Linked DNA regions of Tribolium castaneum. The protein of the gene in region 1 purifies or fractionates together with the protein of each later gene. This does not show direct contact. Links are inferred from orthologs where the notes say so. Each region holds a gene or a part of one and is shown on either strand. Other genes may lie near its edges. The genes, in order: RISC-loading complex subunit tarbp2 and Dcr-2.

Region 1 (4,299 bases):
GCCATTGTTTACATATTCTTGACACTTCTTTGATAAAATCCAGCGATTTATAAATTTGACACTGATAAAGTTTAATTTATAATTACTACGTTCAGTCACGCGTTTACTTAGTCATTTTTTATTATAAAGAAATAGTTTTTAGTCATTTTTTTATATTTAACAAAAAAATGCGAGGTTAAAAGGAATAACCTAAAAACGTCAAGTCTGACGTTTCACGTTTCCTAGAAATCAGTAGCTTCCAAACAATTACCAGTTATAGCCATACAATACAACAGAGAAGCAGTACATTTTAATAATCAGAAGGGAAAAAGTGATTGTTATTAAAACATTTTATTTGGGTTAAATAAATGTTACATAACATATTTTTTACTTATCTGGGTGGTGGTGCCACCAAATCATAATTATAATTATCTCCGAGTGTGTAATAATTTTTACCATCATCATCTTTGGCCCAATTATTGAAGGGCGATGGTGGTTGTTTATGAACAACTTTAACAGGGGCAGACTTAAGTCCCATTCTGATGTATCCCACGATTGATGACATAATTAAACTCATAGTACTTAAAAGTATTGCAATGCTTGACATTACGGCCATAGTTTTAAAAGCTAACGGAAAAATAATAGATTTGATCATTAAAGCTCCGAAAAGAAGTGGTACAGTGTATTTGCTGCCACCTCCTTTTTTCTTTTTACGCGCTCCTTCCATTTCTAAAATTTTAAATTAGAAGAATTACACAATAGTATACAGTAACTTTTTTATTAAGTTTTCTTACCATTTGTAGCAATGAAACTGTCGAAGATAATTTCAGAGCTTGGAGAGAATGTTAACAAAAATACAAATACCAAAACAAGCGTTCGTAAACGCATCTTGGTCAGAAATGAGGATCTTGTGTGATTTTTTTACAGTCTAGTTGGTCGTAAATAGGCTAAGAATATGACAATTTTAAAATTACACATTTTTAAATAGTTTTCAAGCGGAAAATTGGGCGATTTGTGATTACTTTGACAAGAGGATGTTAAGAGATGTGTAATTGTAAATAAAATACATCAGTAAAAAGTAAAAATTATTGTTTTTGGATCAAATTTATTATTATTATCTTGCAAATATTAAAAAATAGTGAAATGACCAAAATTCATGTTGGTAACCACATTTTTCGTCGTTTATGGATTTCTAAAAAGAACAAAAGTTGGTAGCAACGAATTCCCGCTAAGTGGCGCTACTGTAGAATGTTACTTCTTCGCATGCGAACTGTTTAACCATTTGACGTTTGTGTCCATCAAAAAACGTCGCCATTACAGTGTTTATAGCGACGATTGTATTTCAAAGTGTAATAAAAAATTCTAAATAATTGTAAGTAATTTTACTGTTTTACATATAATTTTGCTACAATAGAGTTGTGTTGTCTATTGCGAATTATGGGTTGTTAGTGGAATATTTATGAACCTTCTTTACCGGCTCTTTTTACAAAAATTATAATAACAAAAAAATTTGGAGTAAATTTGTATTTTAAGTACCGAAACTAATAGTTTTAGTTAAAAATTTTGACCGTTGCTTTAGGGGTGTGAATGCGAAGGGGTCGCTTTGTTGAAACCGTTACCAGTTTCTCTCTCTTTTCTTTTGTGTTGTTGATTTAAAATCTTTGAGTTGTGTAGGGCGAATGGAATATAATTTGCTCGTTTTCTTCAGTACGGGAAGCGGAAATTAAGGGCCGACAAGCGGCGAGATGTTTGTACCTCCGCCAGTTGAACAGGTAAAGAAATTTAAAAAAATCGAGGATTTGTTATGCCTTTATTCTCGTGGTGATGGTCGGTTTTTTATTCGCGCCAGTTTTCCAATTGTCAAACCTTGCAACGATTTTTCTTTTCAGCAATTTCGCATGGACCCAAATATGACGCTTCTGCATTCCTCAAGTCAAATACACAACGTCCATCCTAGGAGGAAAAACAACAGAAATACTTTACACGGAATGCAGGCTGAACGCTTGTCTCTGAGCGAAGAGGCTAAATTGGTGCGATTTTTCTAATTATTATTATAATTTTTTTTTGATACTAACTGAGTTTTAGGAGATGGCGTCGTTGCCGACCAAAACTCCTGTTTCAGTACTTCAGGAGTTATTAAGTCGTCGTGGGGCGACGCCTAAGTACGAACTAGTCCAAATCGAGGGGGCTATTCACGAACCTATATTCCGCTACAGGGTGTTTATTAATAACGATTTGGTTGCTACTGGAACAGGGAGGTCGAAAAAAGACGCCAAACACGCTGCTGCGAAGAATCTGCTTGATGTTTTGGTCGGCAAACAGAGTCCAGAACAAGCCAACGCTTCTAACGGGACTCCCGGAGCCAACGATATGTAAATAAATCAGCATATAACTACGGAAAACTAAATATTAGGAGGCGAAACGAATTTCAATTTTTTTTTTGGATATCTATTGCTGGTGATTCAATCAAACATAAAATGGAGCTAAAAAACATATTCTTTCCTTTATTGTTGCACATTTTACTATTTTCGAGAAGTTTATGAAATATAGTTAGATTAGTCTGTGAACTACTTGAGGTTTAGTTTAAAATTGATACGAAAATAAGGCTATATTTTGATGAACTTACAAATCACACACATACACACACACACACATACACATGACTTTGCAAAGAAAAGTCGCATATTGTAAGAGAATTTTATGAACTCATTGAAGAACATCACAAGAGTATGTTTTTAAATTTACATTTTCTTTGGCTGATTTTGATCGATTTAGCTTACTTACTATTTAACAAAAATCTTTATAAAAAAACGTTAATGAAAAAGTTGGAATTTTTTAATAGAGTTATTGTCCTTTTTCTGTTGATTTGTTCCACATATTGGCCGATTTGTTAAATGAAAACTTGTCTCATTTAAGAAAATTTCTTTCTTGTTGTCGATACAGTTTGTATTTTTCCTAATGTTTCATTATTTGACAAAATTTATTCTTTAACAAAAAACGCAAATTTAAATCGCAATAATTAATATACTTATACGGTTATTATGTAAATCAAAGCAAATATTTGCAAAAAAATTTATTTACGTAAAATTTGAAAATTTCTTTACGTATTTTACGTAAACTCCCATTTTTTTTGCGTTATATAAATACTGCCAAATTAAATTTACTGCTGTTAAAGAAAACGAAAGGAGAATTTATTTGTACGTCGTGTCGTATCCTAATTTTTAGGTATCCGTACGGCCAATAAATCGCAACGTCTAACATTTGAAATATTGTATTCAGTACAGCTCAAGTGGTGTCTCCGTTTGATGATAAAGTTATGGGGAACCCTATCGGTTGGCTCCAGGAGATGTGCATGTCTCGGAGATGGCCTCCACCGTCCTATGAGATGGAACATGAGGAAGGTCTTCCACACGAACGCCAGTTCACGATAGCTTGTCAAGTGTTAAAATTCAAAGAAGTCGGTACTGGCAAGTCAAAAAAATTAGCTAAAAGAATGGCAGCACACAAAATGTGGCAGGCCCTGCAAGATATGCCTCTAGAGGGCAATAATCTGCCGCAAGGTTACGACGACGATGAAGAGGTAAGACGTTTCTGTTGATTTAGTTTAGTTTTTTCGTTTGGCTTTCCTTCTTCAGACATGGATGCTTTTTGTGTTTGCTTATTGTTAATAAAAAATTGGATCTTGCTGAGGTATTTTTACGATCTTTCAGAGCGCGCTGTACAAAATTGAAATGAATAAAATTCGTAAAAATAATCCCGAGCAAATCTGTCTCAATTCAATGACGTATTTTGTAGTTGGCGGCGAAAATGTGTAACTTACAAGGACGCTACAGTGGTCTGAAAGATAGTAAAATACCGACACTCAACATACAACACACCCAAAAGGTGTCACAGTTTCACAAAGCCCTCAAGCAGTCCAATGGGCCGAAGCTAAAGGAGTTGCAGGTAAACTACTTGATTTAGCAAAAATGCGAAAATTGTATCGTTTTTACATTTGTATAAATCGTTTCCAGAACATAGTTCTCAACAGCAAAGACTTCAACTTCATTCAGTTTTTGCATGAAATTGCGTCCGAGCAACAATTTGAAGTAACTTATGTCGATATAGAGGAGAAAGCACTATCTGGCAAAAGTCAGTGCTTAGTACAGCTTTCTACATTACCGGTAGCGGTGTGTTACGGTGCCGGAGCGACACCGAAGGAAGCGCAATCAGCGGCTGCTTTGAATGCACTCGAATATTTAAGAATAATGAGCAAGAAGTGAATTTCGAGCTTATGATCGTTTACACTTCAAACATCTGCAACTTTTTTATTTAATTTGT
Region 2 (4,507 bases), on another chromosome or scaffold:
TGTTTTTGTGACTGGGTTGATAAAGACTCGATTACGAGTTTCCAAAACTCATCAACTTTCAAAACATTGAAATTATTGCTAGTTAAATCAACAGGAATGAAATGGGCCCACAATACACACAAAAAGTCCAGTCTTTTATTATCCCTGATAAATTTAAACGCATTTTCTAAAAACAAATTCTTATTGTTCCGACTACACACAGTAAAGTAGTTAGGTAGTAAATAAATCGTAACAAAAGTGAACAAAGGTTTTGATGAAGCTACCAAAGTATTTAAAATCCCATTGGAAAACTCGTCACTTTTCCATTCCATTAGAGCCAGTTTTTCGCTCTTATAATACTCAAAAAGTACGTTTAACAAATTGCAACAGTAATAAAGTTCGTCAAGGCTTCGACTTGACTGCAATTTGCTTAAGCAGAAAGACTGGGTTTGCGACAAAAGAGTATTATCTCGCGTAACGTATAAAGCACGTTTTAAAATTTCTGCTGCCAAATCTACATCTACATCACTGTCGTAAAGGGAGTTCAAAGACAAGGTGATTTTCTCACACTGGCCCCCAATGATCCGTTCGTGCTTGACTTCAAGAAGGGGTTTCAAAGTTTGCAAACAGGCCGTGTCTTGAATTAAACTGTCCAAGACTTCGTCAGTTAAGAGCTTTTCTAGCAGTTCCTTGGATGATTCCATTTTAATTAGCGTTGAAAGAACACATTTCAAACACAAATTTTCTTGGTTAAGTAAACTGAGCTACTGTAAGCTACCGTAGCTACTAACTTTTGATCTACTACAAATGTATTACAAGCTTAATTAAATAAATAGTAAGTATTTATTCAGTTATCTTATTAATGTTGCTTGTACTTTTTGTGAAAAACGGGCAATCAATTAAAAACCCGAAATATTATTCGAGTTAGTTCCATTAGGTTTTTGCAGTAGTTCCTGTGTTCCAATATCACCCCACCCCACTTTTCACAAGTGGAAAAACAAGTGAAATGTCAGAAAAAAATTAGTTTTTTTTAAAGAATTGTGTTCACTCATTCATCTCCTTATCATCTTCATGTAAGTACCCAGTAATTAAGTATTGTTACAATGATTACAAACCGTATTATTTGTTACTCTGGCGAGGTTAAGTCCTTATTTATTTTGATTTATTTTATATAAATTTCACAATTTATTAAGAATTTTTCAAGTGGAAAATGCGCAAAAATAAAATTTGCTACCTGCGCATTTTAGTTCAGAAAGTTCTAGAAATTCCTCCCGGGGATTCCCCCGTCTTCCTACTGTCAATGACGTGGCTTAAGCTAAAATCACTCCCCTTGTTGCAAAATATTTCCAGATGCCAGTAGTGCTGTTTTTCAGTGTGAACACGTATCCAAAAAAATTTTTTTCGCCCCCGCTTTAAGAACTTTTTATTAAAATGGACGAAGAAGACGAACTTAAACCTCGTAACTACCAAGTCAATTTGATGGAAATTGCCATTCGGGAAAACACAATTATTTATCTACCGACTGGATCGGGTAAAACTTTTATTGCAATAATGGTTTTGAAGCAGTTGTGCGCCCCCATATTGAGGTATTTCTGTTGCTTCAAAGTACGATTTTAATCTGAGGCAATACTGTTTAGACCCTACAGCGATGGTGGAAAGATTTCAGTTATATTGGTTAATTCTGTGGCTTTGGTGGATCAACATGGTAAGTATGTAAGAGACCACGCCACGTTCAGTGTGGGAACTTACACTGGAGAGATGAATGTGGATTTTTGGAGCGAGGCAGAATGGGAACAGCAATTTAATAAGTATCAAGTTGTTATAATGACCAGCCAAATCATGGTAAATCTCATCAACAACCGCTTCATAGGTAGGTGTCCCATTCTCCCGCAAAATACAACTTTCAATGCCTACAAGCTTTCGTATTTTTTATTTATCTCCAAATGGCGAATTTCCTTGGTCATTAAACGAATTAAATGTAATTATTAAACGCAAATTTTGCTTTTATTAAAAAGTACCTGAATCTTTGCCCCTTTGCTTTGATTTGAAATGGAATATTTAAAATAATGAATAAATCAATAAGTGTAAGAAGGTAGATAATTTTTTATTGGGAAAAAACATAGTGTGGGTAACCAGTATTTTTAATTAAATTTGTAGATTTGGGAAAAGTAAACTTGATGATTTTCGATGAATGCCACCATGGTGTGGAAGACCAGCCAATGCGCCAGATAATGAAACACTTCCACAGCTGTACCGACAAGCCTCGAGTTCTTGGTCTTACAGCCACGTTATTAAATGGCAATTGCAAATTGTCGAAAGTCATGGATGAAATAAGGTCTTTGGAGGTGACCTTCCACAGTAAAGTGGCCACTGTGGAAGGATTAGACGTAGTTGTTGGGTATTTTCCCAACAATAAAATCGCGTAAAATTCACCACTTTGTCTTAGATATTCGACCAATCCGCAAGAACTATTTAAAGTTTGCCAGCCGGGCGCTTTGTCGCTTGATGCCAAACAAGTACTGAACAACTTGCGTCAACTGATAAATGATTTGGAACATATTAATATCAAAGATGAGCAAAACAGTGTGAATTTATTACAGTCTGAAACCTTGAAACCGCTTGAGCCATCCGATGTGTTGAAAAGTCTGAGAAACTTGATTTCAGACCTAATGATTCACATTGAAATGTTAGGGGCATTCGGTGGTCACATTGCCTGTGTGGCGCATATGATCCAAATAGAACGTATAAAAAAGCACTGCCAGAACCACCAACTCTTCATAGTGTTGAATTACGTCATGACCATAATGGGGACGACAAAACTACTTCTGGAGGAAACCATGGCCGGTTATGAGCCGCTCGAAAAAATTCGAAAATTCTCCTCTGACAAAGTACTGAAAGTGTTTGAAATTTTGGACGAATACAAAACCAAATCGGACGAGGAACTTTGCTGTTTAGTCTTCACCAAAAGGCGGTTCACAGCCAAGGTCCTCCACCACATTATCGACAAAGCTAGCCAAGTTGATCCCAAATTCTATCATATCAAGTCAAATTTCGTCGTTGGAAATAAGAATAATCCCTACAACGACACCCGAGAGAATTTATATATAACAAAAAAGAACCGAGAGGTGCTCAACAGCTTTGTCAGCAAGGAAATCAACGTTTTGGTCAGCTCGAACGTGTTGGAGGAGGGAGTGGACATACCTAAGTGCACTCTCGTCATCAAATTCGACAAATCGGAGGACTACCGTTCGTATATCCAGTCGAAAGGACGCGCAAGACATATCAAAAGTTTATACTACACCATTGTAGAAACGACTGACGTAGCAAAGTACGATAAAAAATACTCCGCTTTCAAGGAAATCGAAAACCTGGTGAATGATGTGAGTAGTGGCTTTTGCTTCCAAATTAAAACTGCCAAATAATCCAAGTTACTTTGGCAGGTACCCTTGTTACCATGCGTTTTAGTAAACAAGTGCCCCGTTTTCAGCTTCTCATCGGCAAAAATTCTGAAAGAGATCATCCAAACTTGTCGGAAATCCGCAACATGTATAATGAAGACAAGCTTGAGCCCTACTACGTAAACGGCCCCAATTCGGCACAAGTAAACATGACCTCGGCCGTAGCTCTCTTGTGCCGTTACTGCAGTAATTTAGCAAGTGACAAATACACCACTTACGCCCCTGAGTGGTATTATGAAGAGGATTCTAGCAGCGCAAAATTGCGGGTTGTGATATTTTTGCCCGTTGTGTGCCCTCTTATCGACCCCATTGTCGTAAGTAATTTTTTTTACAGTCTTCGAGTTGTAAATGAATATTTAGGGCCCTTACATGCACAACAAAAAAGACGCAAAAAGAGCAGCCGCACTAGTCGCATGTATAAAGCTACACCAGTGCGGCGAACTTGACAATAATTTGTTGCCATGGAAGAAGCAGTTGGATGAAGCCGATGTTTCCTATCTTTTCACGCACTGGCCACAAGAAAAGGAAAGCGACGCCGGAAATAAGAAAAAGAAGAGGTTGCACGATAAAGAGGCAAGTGATCCGTTTCAAAAAGAAATAATTCTAATTTTTGCGAGCGGTTGTAGATCGCTCCGAGTGTGAAGAGTGCAATCCAGCCGGACAGAGTCCTCTATTTGCACACTATTAACATAAATCCGCAATACAAAAGAAGCGACGATTTGAAAAACGCGGTCACTATTTACGACCTGTACAAAACACCGTTAAAGTTTGGTTTGTTATCGCCGAAACCGTTGCCCGATTTGTGCAAATTTCCCCTCTTTGATTCAAATGGAACGTTGGAAATTGAAATTAGGAACAATGTTAGAGAGGTGGAGTTTGCAGCTAACGAGATGAAGGAAATGAGGGAGTTCCATTTTTTGGTATTCAACGACCTTTTGGAGATTCTGAAAGAGTTTTTAATTTTCGACAACACTGGGATGAATTCGGAGATGTTGCTTGTTGTACCGGTTCAGGATCGGTGTGGGGATGTTTGCGTCGATTTTCGAGTGATTCGAGACAATAAAAATTTG

The links.
Region 2: the proteins of RISC-loading complex subunit tarbp2 (region 1) and Dcr-2 purify together in Drosophila melanogaster (affinity purification with western blotting; 9 studies listed by BioGRID, with this or other methods). This does not show direct contact. The link is inferred for Tribolium castaneum from reciprocal best matches to the Drosophila melanogaster genes loqs and Dcr-2.

The regions. Positions count from the first base shown.
Region 1 is NC_087395.1:26,693,581-26,697,879, forward strand, and holds the start of RISC-loading complex subunit tarbp2, read left to right. Parts: upstream 1-1,206; 5' UTR 1,207-1,351; intron 1,352-1,645; exon of another isoform or gene 1,646-1,653; 5' UTR 1,654-1,724; coding exon 1,725-1,751; intron 1,752-1,868; coding exon 1,869-2,009; intron 2,010-2,064; coding exon 2,065-2,351; intron 2,352-3,258; coding exon 3,259-3,559; intron 3,560-3,774; coding exon 3,775-3,924; intron 3,925-3,992; coding exon 3,993-4,241; 3' UTR 4,242-4,299. Other genes in the region: GATOR2 complex protein WDR24, read right to left, coding at 1-5.
Region 2 is NC_087397.1:4,128,288-4,132,794, reverse strand, and holds the start of Dcr-2 (Dicer-2), read left to right. Parts: upstream 1-1,410; coding exon 1,411-1,565; intron 1,566-1,616; coding exon 1,617-1,849; intron 1,850-2,136; coding exon 2,137-2,377; intron 2,378-2,425; coding exon 2,426-3,359; intron 3,360-3,466; coding exon 3,467-3,751; intron 3,752-3,797; coding exon 3,798-4,010; intron 4,011-4,063; coding exon 4,064-4,507. Other genes in the region: uncharacterized protein LOC103315209, read right to left, coding at 1-683.